4 linked regions of the Arabidopsis thaliana genome follow. The protein of the gene in region 1 interacts with the protein of each later gene in a pairwise test. Each region holds a gene or a part of one and is shown in the gene's direction. Other genes may lie near its edges.

Region 1 (3,543 bases):
CACCCGAAACTGTAAGTTAACAACAAACAACGTATGGAAACTATGTATAGAACTATCGTGTCACTCTATTCTTACCGGAATATAATATTATGCAGGTTGCATTAATGGCTTCCATTAAAAAGTTGCTGGACCCAAAGGGAATTCTCAACCCTTACAAAGTTCTTCCTCACTCTCTCTTCTCCAACTAAGGTAAAAGATTATTATGCTTTATGATTACGCACCGAAATTATTGAAAGCATCTATCTTTCTATCTATGAATGCTCTTCCAACGTCAAAAGTGAAGAATCATCATCTTTTACTTTGGAATCATTGACATTCTTTTTTCGGCGAATGCAAGGGTGGTGATGAGATGATTCTTCAAACAGGAATTTGGAACATGAGCAGCCAAGTTTGAGCGATATGATTGATGCAAAGGAACAAAAATACAAGTGCTGATTAAAAAGTCTTTAAACTCAAAAGTGTATATGCTTCGCTTCTTCTTCTTTGTTGTTGTTGTTGTTGTTACCTTGTTTTAATATCTTTTTAGTAAAGGATAAGAAAGAATCTAAACCTATTGATCTTACGTGTATTTAAAGTTAAAATTTGCAGTGTATGTAGACCAAAACTCGAAAAGATAATCTATAATAATAGTATTTTCAAGAATCTTCACATAATATCTTTCTATTCTTGGAATTTCTGTTGTAATGGATTTTCTTATTTTGTTCACAAAAAGACTTTATTTTTATTTTTCCCCATAGTTCTGTTTTTACTTCATGTATTACCTTTCTTTAATGTCTTACTAGGAGAAACCAGATCGGTCAGATAAACCGGAATAATATCTGGTCCGATTGATTTGTATAAGTCTAACTAACTTCTCTAATTTAAGAGATAAGCTATAGATTTTAACATATTTGTTCTAAGTTCTACCAAGTATATATTCTTCTGAGACCTAAGTTGGACCTAACTAGATAGGAATATAAGATCCGTATTACCATAGTTCATAGACCATAGTTTCCATGGAACAAATGTGTACAAGTTTTGGTTTAAGGTGAAGCCAATGCATACAACAACATCATGCATCATAATTGTAATTATGACTAGTCAGTTTTGATATATAATCAAGTTGCTTACAACTTTTGTAACCATCGATCCATTCAAAATAATCAGAAGGACAAGGGCAATAAGACAATGAAAGCAATATATCATCGCTAAAAATCCAAGGCATCGTTGAATGATGGATCCATAAACCGGAAATAAATTAAAATAATGTTACAAGCCAACTTTTACCTGATGCATGTATCAATTCTTATTTTTGGTTAATATCAATAATATGCATGCATCAGTTTGGTTATCCTAAAATTTACATAACTCAGATATTCATAATGGTATGAGATTTTTAATTTAAGAAATTTGGTTTTCCGAAATAGATATTGGAATGTTTTATGATAATATTCCTAACTGGTTTGATCATGATCGCGAGAGTAGCAAAAGCGTGTAAGATTCGCTTCTCCAACACAAGTGGAAAGTCCCGGATTAAAGAGAGCCGACACAATAAAAACGACGTCGGATTGATGACTGGACATAGACCCAAACGCTTTAGACACATTGCAAAGATGATAAGACACTATAAAAAGCTCACTGGATATGGCTAAGGAGACAAAACACACACAATCTCTCTCTCTCACACTCACTGTAATAAACACAAATGACGAGTTCTTCTGAATCAACTCGCAAGGTTGGTTAATTGTTTCTTTAACTAAATATAACAGTACCTTTTTGGTTATAATTCCATTGTTGTCTTTGGTTTGATCATCTCTCTCTTGTTCTTACTATGTTAGGGTCTGACCAAAATCGCCACGAACCGGTTGCAGAAAGAGTTCATGGAGTGGCAAACCAATCCTCCTTCTGGTTTCAAGCACAGAGTCTCTGATAATCTCCAACGGTACATAATCATTTTATTGTCTTTCCTTCGAATATTGATAATCGGTGATGTAATGTTGAATTGTTGGTGTAAACAGATGGATCATTGAAGTGCATGGAGTTCCAGGAACTCTTTACGCCAATGAAACTTACCAACTTCAAGTTGAGTTCCCTGAGCATTATCCTATGGAAGCTCCACAGGTTCGTCCTCTAACTCCTTTTGTTAATACTTAACGATACTTAATCATCGCATCAATCTCATAACCCGATGGTTCCACATATAAAACAGGTTATCTTTCAGCATCCAGCTCCACTTCATCCTCATATTTACAGCAACGGTCACATTTGTTTAGGTAAGTACATACAAACACAATGACTCACTCTGTTTCAAAGTCCAATGACAAGACCCTTCTATGTGTTCTTTTGATTATGCAGATGTCTTGTATGATTCGTGGTCACCGGCGATGAGACTAAGTTCCATCTGTCTCAGCATTCTCTCAATGCTCTCCAGCTCATCCGTGAAGGTTTGTGTGTTTTATCTTCTTCTCATATTTCAAAGGCTTTCACAGAATAATCTTCTTCTTATGATGTTTATTGTTCTCTCCTTACAGCAAAAGCCGAAAGACAATGACCATTACTTGAAAAACTGCAAACATGGAAGATCTCCCAAAGAAACTAGGTGGCGTTTCCATGACGATAAAGTATAACATCTCCTATAATATTGTGATTACAAACGAATTGTAAGATCTCAGGTCGAGTTCTTGATCTGTTGCTATCTTTAAAACAAGAACAGCTTCTTTCTACAGTTTAACCATACGAAAAGCTTGAGCATAAAACTTGAAAATTTGGAAATAACATGATTCATTATTATATGAAAGAAATCATCAACTGTTAGTACAAACCAAGAACTGAGAGAATGATTGATCCAAAGAAGAGAGAACTTTGCTTCTAACAAGCCTTCGTGTATATTTGATAGAAGACAAAAATCTGTTTCTATCTCTAAAGAAAAGAGCTGCTGATGACTTTCCATCACATCTTACATTTGTAATAAACACTAGGAAGGACTACTCAGCAGAAGCTTCATTTGTTCTTGCTCATGCTCCATTTTAATAACACCTGCAATGTCAAAACCTAAAGCTTAAGCATATGAAGCAAACACGAATCATACAGATGCTAGAATACCTACTAAAAGTGTTTATAGACCAAGCAATTTCACATGTTTCCCAATAGACTACAAAAGCTATTCTAATTGCTCTTGCTCTGTACATTTCGACAAGAAACTTCAAAGGCCCTTCATGAAACTCAACGTCAAGCTCAGAACTTTACTCCCCTTACAAAAACAAAGCAAGCAACTTTATGCAATTCCAGAATCAAATTAATGTTCATTTCCAATTCTCAAACCTAATAAGCACTAACAATTCAACACCAAGCTCACACAATCTCAAAGCTTGTTTATTCCCATAATCAAACAAACTAAAGCTAGCTAATCCATCTGCTTAGGAGCAATCGAAAGTATAGAGGTACCTAAAAATGGTCACTCCATAGCAACTTTAGCTCCAACAGCCTTCAACTTCTCAATGATCTTCTCTGCTTCTTCCTTACTAACTCCTTTCTTCAACAATGTTGGAGCTTTCTCCACCAAAT
Region 2 (4,955 bases), on another chromosome or scaffold:
ATATATGAGAGAACATAAATTAACCCAAGTAAAAAATTGTAAGACCAAATCATTGAGCACACGAATAGTAGTTCTTTACAATTGGAAAAAAAAAAGAACAAAGTAGAATTGCTCCGGCCATATTGAAGTTATGATCAGATTTATAAATAAGTTGATGTATACTCACAGTAGGAGGCTTTAAATCAAAACCAAAACGTAAATGGAAAAGCTTGAAACTTTGGAACCAGACAGAACACAGACAGGTGTTAGAATTTATCGACTCGGAGACCATTTCTTTGAACCTCATAAGCATCTCTGCTTCTGCTCTTCTTCATTCCTGCAGTGAAATAGACCTTTGATGCATCTGTAGATATGCTTGTCACTTTTACCCATATCATTACTTTTGTCTTGATTCCTTCCACATCTGTTAGCTTTCCTTTCTCAAGATGTCCTGTTACTGTTGTTGTGAACTTCAACACTGATGAATCCTTGTATCCAACTTCGCATATCGATGGGATCAAAACGGTTAGTTTCTTTGTCTCTTCATCGAACTCGTAGTTTGTAGCATCTCCCGGGAAGATTCCAATCGGCAAATCATATTCTTTTAGTAACTCAGGCAACGGCTTCTGCATTTTCCCTGTCAACATGATGACAAATGGGGAATTTCAAAAAAACAAAAAATTGAAAGATGCAGTCAGAAGAAGAATAAAAAAAAGCAAACCTTTGATTTTGTTGACCAACCATTTTGTTCCTCCTTCAATGCTCGTTGACACCGACTGGCATAAACAAAAACATTGTTTTATATGTTAGAAAAGATCACAGTTTCAAACAAAATAATCTAACCACATGAGCAAGAAGAGAAGACATTATAGGATCATATATTTGAATCATTTCTTAAGATATCATGGTTTTGGTAATTAGATGTTCTTCCTTATGTGACGTGATTTACCTAACAATGAACTCAAAACATTCGTACAACTGCATGATACCAAAATTACGATAAAGGTGGTTGATTATATCGGAACCACGTCAATAGATCAAAATCGATTAGGAAAACAGATGAATCAGATTCTATAGGATGGGTCAAAAAAAGACGTACGTTGAGATCGTTGCCGACGGAGTCAAACTGCTTGTTAGCCTTTTGGCCTAACCAGTAGGATCCAACCTTGTTGAAGATCTGATCCATATTCTCTCGAGAAAGGATAGAGAAGATTTTGAGAAAACGAAGGACGACTTTCTTTCTTTTTCTTCCGGGAAAGAATTTTGGGAACCCACCACTCTCGCACCGTTGGATTCGTTATTTGTGCACTATTCCTGCAGCCAATTAACTTATGACATGTGGCAAATACATAAACACCAATATATTTATTGAAGCAAGCAGGCAGCATTATACTGTACAAATTACAAAAAAAAGTACTTGCCTATCACTCCTCCTTGGGACTGACTATCTATCTATTGGGCCTTCAATGAAAATCAGATTAAATAGGTGCAACACAACTTGGGAACTGAAGAACCACATGGCACAAAACAGAGTAAAATTAAAGACTACAATCAATCCTTTTTTTTTGCCATTCCTCCCATGATTTTACTTGTCTATTAGACGAACCTCAGCTAAATTTGTAATTACAGTCGAAAATATTATTAAGCTCTTTAACACTTTTATAGCCTACCCTTGTCTTTGTGCATTCCAGAGTAATACGAATCGATTCAAATCAAGCCAATAAAATAAAACCAAGCCTAACTACACTTTATTTAATGCTTAATTTTTGTCCTTGCCAACATTACAACTTTTTAGAAAAACCATTTGATATGATTTTTTAACTTGGGCCGTGACATTACTAATGAGGCCCACAATGTACTTACTCCGACGTGTAATTGTCTCCGATAAAGACAAGGAACCATTTGGAACCTCTCACGCGCTTTAGCTGGAAATTACGTGGAGTTGAGCTACTCGCGACTCTATCCTATGTATAATTGTATATCAGTTTTCCGTCTCCATCAAATATCCTAGAGAGCCACGAATTTTTCCTTCTTTGTTGTAAATTATGAATATTAGGCCACATAATACGGAAAGTCTTAAAGGGTTTGGACCATTCTCAATCTTATGTTCTAGTAGCTTGATGATTTTTTATAAAAACAATATGGAAATACTTTTATCTCTATCCGATTTCCTATGTCAATATGTGTCACAGGATTTTACACGTCTAACTTATGTTGGAAACGCTATCATCTTTTCTTTTTTTTTTTTTATAGTAAACAATTGTATTTGTTATCATCTACAACTCTAAAAAATACATTTCGAAAAATAGGAGAGAGCGAGTAGGAAATAAGAAAGTGGCAACGCGAGAGTAGGAACCGGAAATGGTAAAAAGATTCTGAGGATAAAAGAGAAAGCAGAGAAACAGACAAACTTTATTTGGAGAGATGTTAACGTGGATCGAATATCCTCACGTTCACACTATCCCATTGGATGTAGCACGAGGCCGCCACACGCCCCTACATCTGGCTTTCATATCCACCCTCCACGTGGATCTCAATCCAACGGTGACCACACGCCTTTTCCCTCTTATATAAACCCTTCCTCCTTCCTCTTTCTTATCATCATCACCATCTCTTACAACAAATCTCAGGCGGCTCAACACTATCCTCTTCTACATTTTCCAACGATGGCCTCAAACGCACTCTCGTCTTTCACCGCCGCTAATCCCGCTCTGTCTCCTAAGCCACTACTCCCTCACGGCTCTGCTTCTCCGTCGGTTTCTCTCGGCTTCTCCAGGAAAGTTGGCGGCGGCAGAGCAGTGGTCGTTGCAGCGGCTACGGTGGACACAAACAACATGCCGATGACCGGAGTCGTGTTCCAGCCTTTCGAAGAGGTGAAGAAAGCCGATCTGGCCATTCCAATCACATCTCATGCCTCTCTCGCTCGCCAGAGGTTTGCCGACGCTAGCGAGGCAGTCATTAATGAGCAAATCAAGTAAGCTTCTCTTTTCTTTTCTGTCTAATTAAAGAAACGAAAATGTTTAAAGATTAGATCTAACGGAGGAGGTTGCTTTCTATTTACAGTGTGGAATACAACGTCTCCTATGTGTACCATTCAATGTACGCATACTTTGACAGAGACAACGTTGCTATGAAGGGACTAGCCAAGTAATTATTACCTTCTAACTCTAATCTTAATCTTATTTATAATAATCTTGATCGTATACTTCAAAATGAGATATATATGTCCATACTAAACATGAGTTTTTATAATCACCAGATTTTTCAAGGAATCAAGTGAGGAAGAGAGAGGGCATGCTGAGAAGTTTATGGAGTACCAGGTTTTCTATTTTTACCTTCTTTTCTGTTTTAGAAAAGTTGATAAAGACTTGTGATTCACTTAGTTAATATTCATATTGTTGGTTTGTTGTCTCTATACAGAACCAAAGAGGAGGAAGAGTGAAACTCCACCCTATCGTCTCACCTATCTCAGAATTCGAACATGCTGAAAAAGGAGATGCTTTATATGGTAAAACTTTAAGCAAATACACTATCTTAATCCTAAAATAACAACTTTTCTTTTTTTTTAAAGATACAGATATTTATTAGTTTACTAATCTTTGTTTTCAGCAATGGAGTTGGCTCTGTCTCTAGAGAAACTCACTAATGAGAAGCTTCTAAACGTTCACAAAGTAAGTTCCCTAACTTATCCATTTGATCATCAAAGATTAAACTTATAGTCATTTTCCTAATACTAACTAACACGTACTTTTGGCCAACAAAACAGGTGGCCTCAGAGAACAATGATCCCCAGTTAGCTGATTTCGTTGAGAGTGAATTTCTGGGAGAGCAGGTAAAAGTTCTTTTGCCTTTGTTCGGATTACAACTAGTGACTTGTATAATCTGTACATGTTCTGACTCAGAATATATTATGGACTATTTCTAGATTGAAGCAATCAAGAAGATCTCAGACTACATCACCCAGCTAAGGATGATCGGCAAAGGCCACGGTACGAATCAAAACCCTATATTGAGATAGTGTTCTCAGACTTGAATGGTATTTCTAAAAGCTTATTTACATTTGTTCTGTCTTTGCAGGAGTTTGGCATTTCGACCAGATGCTTCTGAACTAGACTTGGACCTCTATAAGTTCACTTTCAGATGACCAATGTTGGGGTTAAAACAGAAGAACCCGAAGATTCTGTAAAAGCTTTAGATTGAACATTATGGACTAATAAGATTGTAGTAGTAAGCTTTGTGTTCAAGATGGTTTTTGTAATAACTTCGTAAGCTTAATCAATGAAGTTTTTGTTTTAGTATATTCTAACTAGCTATAAACCTACGGCCAAACAATGCGTAACTAAGAAAATAGTGAAAACTCAGACCTATCTAATTAAACATAGAATATTTATGATCCAACTTGAAAGAGTAAGCATAACGAACCTGTTTATGAAGAACATGTAAAAGAAGCATGAAGCGTATGTCACTTTCCACCGAGAAGGACAAGCTGGTCACTGGGATATAACTGAACAGCAAACAAGAACAAGATCACTGTCACATCAAAGCAAAAGAGATGCTCTTACTTTGATTCCATGTTGAACAGTAGAAAATCATTTCTAACCAAACAAAGACCTGTCTGTTCTACAAAGAGCTGACAAATGTACGAAAATGAGTATCCATAAGAAGTTCATGACGTATGAAAACACCATTAAGCTTTTCATGTACAGATTCTCCCTTAGTGATTTATCTTTTCATCATGGTTCTTCAAACCACTAAGCATTAAGTAAAGATTGAGAATCTTATTTGTATAATGACGAAGAAGTCCCTCGCACGGGAACAATCAAGATTGGATACTTGTATGACCCTAACAAGAACACTTATCACAGTAGTAATGCTCTGATCAAAAGCAAGGAAATGTCAAATAATCCCGAATGTTATAGCACCATGCATCTAATCTAGAGAAATACGCATTCTAATAAGATAGTATCCTCTAAGAT
Region 3 (3,916 bases), on another chromosome or scaffold:
GGATTCATCGAGGTTCTTGATATCTGCAGCACGATCAGAGACGTTCTGATGGAGATAAAGGAACAAGTCAGGGAACTCGAATCAAGCTTGAGGAGGAGATTGATCAGAAGCAAGTCAGGAGAAGATCAAGAAGCTTTCGTGGCGCGTGAGACAGACGCGTACGTGTTTAAGAGAAGAGCACTGAGCAGAACCATCGTCAAACAATTGAAGAAAACAGAGGAGAAGATGAGGAAGAGGAAGAGAGATTGTGGAGATGTCATTAATGTAATGAAAAGAGTTGAAAAGACCAGCTTTGATGTTTTGGTTTCTTTGTTGATTGAGGTAGTGACGAAGGATCAGAGAGATCAAAAGAAAGGATCAAGGAGAGGAATTGTGTCGAGGATTTTTAATAAGAAGAATCAAGAAGTTGATGTGGATGAGCTGAAGAAGTTGAGAGAAACAGAACATGAGATTGAAGAAACAGAGAAAGAGTTGGAGTGTGTGTATAAGAAACTGTTGAAGACAAGAGTTTCTTTTCTTAACATGCTTACTCTTTGAGATTGTATAGATGTAATTTTGTTCATTGTGAAGTATTGTTGGCTTTAGTTTAGGCAAAGTCTCTCAGATCATATTGATCTTTAGAACTTGTAAAACTTTGTGTGCAGCGTTCTTAAATCATATTCAAACGATTACTTGTCAAGAATACGAGTTCGAGATAACAATTATCAGCAGATCACTTCAGTACTCTATGAATATTTCATAAGTTTATAGTTATACAATCATGAGACTGATGAGTGTATCAGTTTTCTTATCAGAAGTTGTTGCAAAACAGAGTAAGGATGAATTTGAGATAATGGGCTTATTAATTGAGTTTCATGGGCTTTATTTTATGTTTGATGGGTTGTTTGCAAAAAAAATAGCTAAAGAAATTACGCAATAATGTCTTATTTTCTCTGTGTGTTTTTATAATCACGCAATAATGTCTTCTTATTTCTCTTTTTTTAATCACGCAATAATGTCTCTACATGATGATGACAACAGAGAAAATATAATGCATGGTTGATTATTCGTTATAATTAGTAGCTATACCTTCCAAACGGGAAATCGAATAATAAGATTGCTGCACTAACAACATAATAAAAATGAAAGCATTTCAGCATTTGGAGTTGGAGGGATATGAATCTAATTATATAATTTGTGGGAAGATATTAATTTGTTGAAAATAACCTGAGATATAAAGATCTTAAACATAAAATCTAATCCAGGATGTATTCATGCGTCGAGCCGTCGAGGTGGTTACCTGATTGATAGAGAAATTAGACATATAAACATATATGTATTAATGTATGCGTATTATTACTGTCCACGTTATAGAAAAGGTATATTGGTATTTGTGTGAAACTGTGAATATTTCGCTTGTCCAGAAACATATATTGAGAGGTTAACACGTAACACAATGTCACAATCGCATGTATTGCCAAAGATAAGTTCCGGTTTTAAAATGATTATTGATCATATATTCATATTGATCAAGTAGTTACCATTATTTGTTTTCTGTTACTGTAAGACTTATATTACTTTCTTGTTGGTAATTAATATATCCATTTAACTTGATACATAAAACATATCTGACAAACCCTTAACATAATATTTAAAGTCTGATCCAAAATCTAAACATTTCTCATCTCATTTAATATTCGTCCGTCTGTTCCAAATTGTTGCAATTTACCAACACAGCCTGGCACCGTCGCTCGTGCATGCATGGTATATAGTATATAATTAAACCTTAAGACTATATATTAGAATAAAAATCTTTAAAACTATATATTATAAATTGAAAATCTAAACGAATCCACAATGTACCCTAATCCACGAGTGCCTCTTACGTACAAAGAAGGTTCCTTGTGACATGTTTTGAATCATTTAAATCATTGTTTTGATAATACCTCCAAAATGAGCTGTTCCCCGGATGTCCCACGTCCGTACAAAAACCCAAACTTGGGAACCTTCATCGTACTTTCCCTCAGATCCTTCTTAACCTCTATATATAATCTCATTCTTACACACATTCAATATATCTCTAATCTTCGCTTAAAACTCTCAAGAAGCCCTAAAAACCATTCACAATTACATCAAAAAATACCTTTTCAAATTCTTTTTTTACATTCATAAAGCTAAGTATCTCGAATAGATTAAGATCTATCTATGGCTCAGATTAACTTTGAGGGTTTGAGAGAGCTACACGACTGCGTAAACTATCTCCTCCATCACTGTCCGAAAACAAGAGAATCTCTGTCTCAACAAGGACAAGAGAAATGGACGGAACAAGTTTCAGAAGCTTCATTGAGGATGTTAGACATCTGTAACGTATCCAAAGATGTGATGACGCTCGTGAAACACAGCTTGCAAGATCTACAACTGACTCTACGTGGCAACGAATCATCTGATGTCAACGAGAAGATAGCTGCGTATAATCGGTATAAGAACAAGCTCAAGAAGGAGACACTGAAATGCTTAAACTGTTTGAAGAACATGAAAGGAAACGAAGGAAGAGTGGCCATGCCAATAGAACAGAACCTTCTGTTTGTCACAGAAGTTTTGAAGGAAGTGAGAAGAGTCGTTGTGACGATGGTTGAGTCTTTGTTCTCACTTGGTTGTATTCCTTGGCTAGAGAAGAGATCGAGCAAAGGGTCTTTGTCTTCGATCTTTTCCATTCGGTCTTCCTATTTGTTAGATGATGAATGGGACGAGACTGCGGTGCAAAGCGCGACTACGAGGTTGGAGGCGGCGGAGATTACTGTAGTGGAGCTTGAAATAGAGTTGGAATCTATTTTCCGGCGATTGATTCAGACGAGAGTTTCACTTCTTAATATTCTCACCAACTAGATAATATATGATATGTCCGGATCGGTTAGGTTTTGCTTCAAGCGGACATGTTTAGTTAACATTAAATAGATTGATTTGTAAACTTATTTTCAAGTTTGCAACATCAAATTCTTTTATTCTATATAATTTATTTTTTTACCCGTTTCCTAAACTGGCTACTTGGATTAAAGACTTGAAGTTGAAGGCACACTTTTTGTCTTCACCAAAAATAGAGTCAAAATGAAATTGTTATTCAAGTAAAATTTGAATTATAGATGTTTGTTTATTTATTCACAATTCATGTTGCTAGAATAGACATTTTCAATTTGATGATTTTGCATATTTTTTTTGGTTTTCAGATATAGTTATAAAAACCATTAACAAATTCAGTTTCGTAAGTGTTAATTTGTATACTTAACACAGCGAATATAACTAATTTCTAGTGTTTCTTTGTAATTCGTATCATTGGAGGCTGGATCTAAAAACACGAATCTCGCAATGCGTTTTATTTCAAATTAATTTGTTGACAGCAAAATAACAACATGATCAGGAAGTGCAACACACAAGTAGTAACTTAAAACAGAAGCAGCAAGTCTTACAAAGTTGTGTACAAAAACAATTCACGTCTTCTTCACAGTTCTCTTTATTTCGACATATGAAGCTGAAAATTAAGAAAAAAACAAGAGACGATCCTTTTTTCGTCATGATCTTCAAAGGTTCAGTGAGACCTAGCAGCAAAACCCAAAACCAGATTAGTGTCAAGTAGTTTGAGCAATGCTTATATGGTTACATGAAAGGTGAACTCGAGGATAACTACAAATCATCAATGTCTAAACAAAGAGAAAACTCAAAACATGTACCACTAAACTAATAACAAACATTCACAATAAAGGCACTCAATTTTCATTCACTCCCGAGAGTTTCAATGATTCATTCTAGTAGATATAAATCAAGAACATCCTATAGAGAAGTTAAAGATCCTCTAAACTTTCACCACTTGTATGAACCAAAACCAGATCAAAGCTATCATCTTTCTTCAAAACCAACTAGATAGCAGTTAACAAGAGATCTT
Region 4 (4,063 bases), on another chromosome or scaffold:
TAATAATCACCTAAATGAATATTTGCAGGCTATCATATGTCGGATCGGGATTGATCCATCAAGGATAGAAGAGAGATTAAGGGATATAATCTCATGATTAATTTTTTGAAGCATTATTGAATCCCAAATCACAAGTCTTTTCTTAACAAATTAAATGTGTTAGTTCTTTAAACATGAGATTATGAGTATTTTTAAGAGTGAATTGGTGTAATAGCCCTATTGTTGTTTAAGTTAAAGAGAATGATCAAATGTCTGAATACCATTTCCTCAAGTATATGAACGAAAAAGCCTCTCACATCATCTTCAAAATCTCTTTATTTTCTCTTTTCTTTCTATGCCTAATCTCTATTACGTTTATAGAATCTCATGTTTAAATATAAAATATATTATCTACTTTTATTGTCAAGAACTCTCAAATTTTCTTTCATTGAGCATTTTAAGCTCAAATATTTTATTACAGGCGCCGTCTAAAATAGTCGTAATTGATATTTGCATACATAGAATAGATAGATGTTATGCATCTGATGACTATCTTCAAAACATGTTCAAGGGCATAGGCATTTGGATCCACTTTTGGAGTTTTTCATATTGCGATAGCAAGGACATTCATCTTTGTTTTCTCCTAAAATCACACATGGTTAGATTTTGTATGTGAATATAGTTAACTAAAACTTAAAAAACATGTATATATACACGACATAACTAGTAAACAAATCTTTTTTTCTAAATGTCTTATATAAATTGGACAGTATATATAGATCGATAACAAAAATTTCGCTACAAATTTTCTAACTATAAGTAATCATCCTTTTCTAGCCACAGAATTAGTTACAAGTAATTATAGGCTTAACATTTTAAAATTGGGCTAATCTGTATTTCTAGTCACGGATTTTCAATGGCTATGAATTATGATAGTTACCAAATGACTATTCTCTTCTTGTACGAATTCAAATATTTGAAGAAGGAAAAAAAGAATAACATGTGGAAAATGCAATAAGGATATAATTGTCCCTTACTCAGTTTCTAAGCAAGTGGTCAAGCAGCGAGACGATATATACACAGTGTTAGTATCATATTGCGGCTCCTTTTACTTTTTATGTCAGTTTGCTCAGTGGCAAAGTTATGACCAACATCTACCTGGAGTACTCCAAGACTCAACAAAACTAGGCATGTTTAATTTTCTGTCTTTGTATTCACCTCCGGTGAACGTTTAGACGATCGGTCCATGTAGATCCCCTATCCGGTGAACGATGTCGGCCATACGGCCAAAGAGAGTTGAGGGCCTTTAATAATTTATGTAAGGAATGCCGAATGTGTTGTGTCCTTTTCTTCTATGATAATGATAGCTTGTTGAATAATCTTAGGTTATGGCGCCTTATGATACTTTCCTCGGATAATGAATACGTGCACCAAATTAATTGAACATGATGATACTATTTGATTTAGTGGTCCCGATTCTATCAGTATACAAAACAATTTTCCTTTTCTATTTGTTGATAGAAACATATATAGTACTGTTGTAAGGAATTCATTTTTGTCTACCGTGGCTGTTGACTATTTTACGCCATTGAAATGATTTTTGATAATAATTTTCTCCAAACCTACTGTAAATCACAGGACTTAAACTCATGGTTAGTAATCTGAAAGAAGAAGAATCATATCTCTGAACGTTAGGAATCTCATCTCACACGGTAAGCATGATGCTATCTAAACTATGTCTTTGAACGTTAGAAATCTTACATCGAAATTATGATGCGTCCTAGTAATGTGTCAACCCACCAACAAATCTAATTTTTTTTTTAATGATAAACAACATATCTAATTGTTTTGAAACTTTTGTATCTTTAAGAACGTGGAAATTCCGAAGTAAATAGTAAAATTTACTTGGTAGGAAAGATGCATGCATCTTATTAATTTAGTGTGTAAGCTCACGGACGCAATCACAAAAGCCATGACTTTCTTCCAAAACATCCCTTTCATCTAAATCACGTAGCTCTTTCTCTCAAAGTTGAGATTTGTGACTCTGTATCTCCCGGCCCTCTCTATCTCTTTAACTGTATATAAAGAGAGATGGATTTGAAAAGAGAAACTTGTACATAAAAGCTTAAAAGAAAACAAAAAGAATGGGGAGAGCAAGAGAAATAGGAGAAGGAAACTCATCGTCGTTAAGGGAACAACGAAACCTCAGAGAGAAGGATCGAAGGATGCGCATGAAACATCTCTTCTCTATACTTTCTTCTCATGTTTCTCCCACTCGCAAGGTCCGTTTTTTCTCTCTAACTCTCCCTCTCTCTCTTTCTCTCTCTATATATATCTTATATTAAATTGTAGATGTGTTTTATGCGTATATACAACAATACAAACATTATCTACATAATTACTGTAAGATGTACGTTTTATTCTAAAGAGATAATATTTTGATTAATTGAATAGGCAGTTGTCCCTCTATGACCGTCCATATTAGCTCTCTTTTAAGTACGGTGTCTAATTGACAAATAAATGATTCACGTAGCTAGGGTTTTTACGGTTTATTTATATATATTGAATATAACCACATTCATGTAAAAGATTAATGAAAGTAATTATCTTGGGGTTTTTTTTGGGATCTAAACAGTTACCAGTGCCTCACCTTATAGATCAAGCGACATCATACATGATCCAATTGAAAGAGAATGTAAATTATTTGAAAGAGAAGAAAAGGACATTGTTACAAGGAGAACTCGGGAATCTCTACGAAGGGTCGTTTCTTCTACCCAAACTCAGTATTCGTTCGCGGGATTCGACCATAGAAATGAATCTGATCATGGATCTAAACATGAAAAGAGTAATGTTACACGAGCTTGTGAGTATTTTTGAAGAAGAAGGAGCTCAAGTAATGAGTGCTAATCTTCAGAACTTGAATGATAGGACCACTTACACAATCATAGCCCAGGTACCACATCCACACGCATATGTTTGTATAATACACACGTATATGCATGTGTCATGTCTTTCGTATAAATTTTTATTACATATATTTGCAGGCTATCATTAGTCGGATTGGCATTGATCCATCAAGGATAGAAGAGAGAGTACGGAAAATCATCTATGGATATATATATTTTGAAGCATGAAATCCCAAATGATAAGTCTACGCTAACGCTAGTGTGTTTTTTCACACATGTGTTAGTTCTTTAAATATGAGATGAGTAATTGCTTTTGAGTTCGATTATGATAAATATGTTGACCGTCAACATAAGAAACCTTAAAACGTTGTCGTTTCGTTTTTATTCATCCCGGTTTAATTCAGTTTGGCTTGGCGTGATTTTAGATTGGTCCAGATTTGCATAATTTTAACCACCGAGTAAGACAGTGGGATGTAAATGTCAATAAAATACACTATTGGGGTAAATGTGAAAAGAAAAAAATAGTAAGAGGCTATATTTGAAAATCTAAATATCGCACAAATTGCAACCCTTATTTTAGATTTAGGAATTTTGAAACCCTTGTCGAAGAGAAAAGAGGCAAAATCTCAGTATAAAGTTTCTCAAACACTTGTGGTAAGAGAGCAAAATCGTGAGAGATGGATCTGATTCAATCCTACGAAGAAGAAGACGAAGCCGTTGCTTCCTCGCCGGAATCTTCACCGCCTCGTATGTTAAAGGCGAAATCATCGGCGCCGGAGGTAGACGATACGGCACTAGCTCTCACGGTGGCTAACGTGAATCAATCGAAATCGAAGCCGATTGACCCGACTCAACACGTCGTCTTTTATAACCCTACCCATGATCAGCTGTGGGCTCCGATGTTCGGCCCCGCGCATCCGTATGCGAAAGACGGGATCGCTCAAGGGATGCGGAATCATAAGCTAGGTTCTGTGGAAGATGCTTCGATTGGATCGTTTGGGTTTGAAGAGCAGTACCATACGTTTCATAAGTGCGGTTACGCGGCGGATCCGTCTGGGATGAACTACGTCGGCGATGTTGAGGCGTTTAAGAAGAACGATGGTCTTTCGGTTTTTAATATTCCTCAGAGTGAGCAGAAGCGGAGGAAGATTGAGAGGAGCAAAGAGGAGAGGGAAGGG

Evidence for each region.
Region 2: the proteins of UBC17 (region 1) and FER1 interact in a two-hybrid assay, tested with the Arabidopsis thaliana proteins (one large-scale study listed by BioGRID).
Region 3: the proteins of UBC17 (region 1) and AT1G76210 interact in a two-hybrid assay, tested with the Arabidopsis thaliana proteins (one large-scale study listed by BioGRID).
Region 4: the proteins of UBC17 (region 1) and AT1G10585 interact in a two-hybrid assay, tested with the Arabidopsis thaliana proteins (one large-scale study listed by BioGRID).

The regions. Positions count from the first base shown.
Region 1 is NC_003075.7:17,200,285-17,203,827, forward strand, and holds UBC17 (ubiquitin-conjugating enzyme 17), read left to right. Parts: upstream 1-1,637; 5' UTR 1,638-1,684; coding exon 1,685-1,714; intron 1,715-1,817; coding exon 1,818-1,921; intron 1,922-1,997; coding exon 1,998-2,100; intron 2,101-2,188; coding exon 2,189-2,252; intron 2,253-2,334; coding exon 2,335-2,423; intron 2,424-2,510; coding exon 2,511-2,606; 3' UTR 2,607-2,704; downstream 2,705-3,543. Other genes in the region: D2HGDH (FAD-linked oxidases family protein), read left to right, coding at 1-11, 96-188; AT4G36420 (Ribosomal protein L12 family protein), read right to left, coding at 3,434-3,543. UniProt on the Arabidopsis thaliana protein: Accepts the ubiquitin from the E1 complex and catalyzes its covalent attachment to other proteins.
Region 2 is NC_003076.8:227,285-232,239, reverse strand, and holds FER1 (ferretin 1), read left to right. Parts: upstream 1-2,188; 5' UTR 2,189-2,645; coding exon 2,646-2,953; exon of another isoform or gene 2,954-2,977; intron 2,978-3,042; coding exon 3,043-3,126; intron 3,127-3,238; coding exon 3,239-3,299; intron 3,300-3,399; coding exon 3,400-3,487; intron 3,488-3,588; coding exon 3,589-3,650; intron 3,651-3,745; coding exon 3,746-3,811; intron 3,812-3,904; coding exon 3,905-3,968; intron 3,969-4,056; coding exon 4,057-4,091; 3' UTR 4,092-4,287; downstream 4,288-4,955. Other genes in the region: AT5G01610 (hypothetical protein (Protein of unknown function, DUF538)), read right to left, coding at 246-616, 701-755, 1,079-1,165.
Region 3 is NC_003070.9:28,594,151-28,598,066, reverse strand, and holds AT1G76210 (DUF241 domain protein, putative (DUF241)), read left to right. Parts: upstream 1-2,070; 5' UTR 2,071-2,184; coding exon 2,185-2,865; 3' UTR 2,866-3,117; downstream 3,118-3,916. Other genes in the region: AT1G76220 (hypothetical protein (DUF241)), read left to right, coding at 1-537.
Region 4 is NC_003070.9:3,493,165-3,497,227, reverse strand, and holds AT1G10585 (basic helix-loop-helix (bHLH) DNA-binding superfamily protein), read left to right. Parts: upstream 1-1,983; 5' UTR 1,984-2,123; coding exon 2,124-2,261; intron 2,262-2,543; exon of another isoform or gene 2,544-2,572; coding exon of another isoform or gene 2,573-2,614; coding exon 2,615-2,932; intron 2,933-3,023; coding exon 3,024-3,113; 3' UTR 3,114-3,458; downstream 3,459-4,063. Other genes in the region: AT1G10586 (basic helix-loop-helix (bHLH) DNA-binding superfamily protein), read left to right, coding at 29-97; AT1G10580 (Transducin/WD40 repeat-like superfamily protein), read left to right, coding at 3,563-4,063.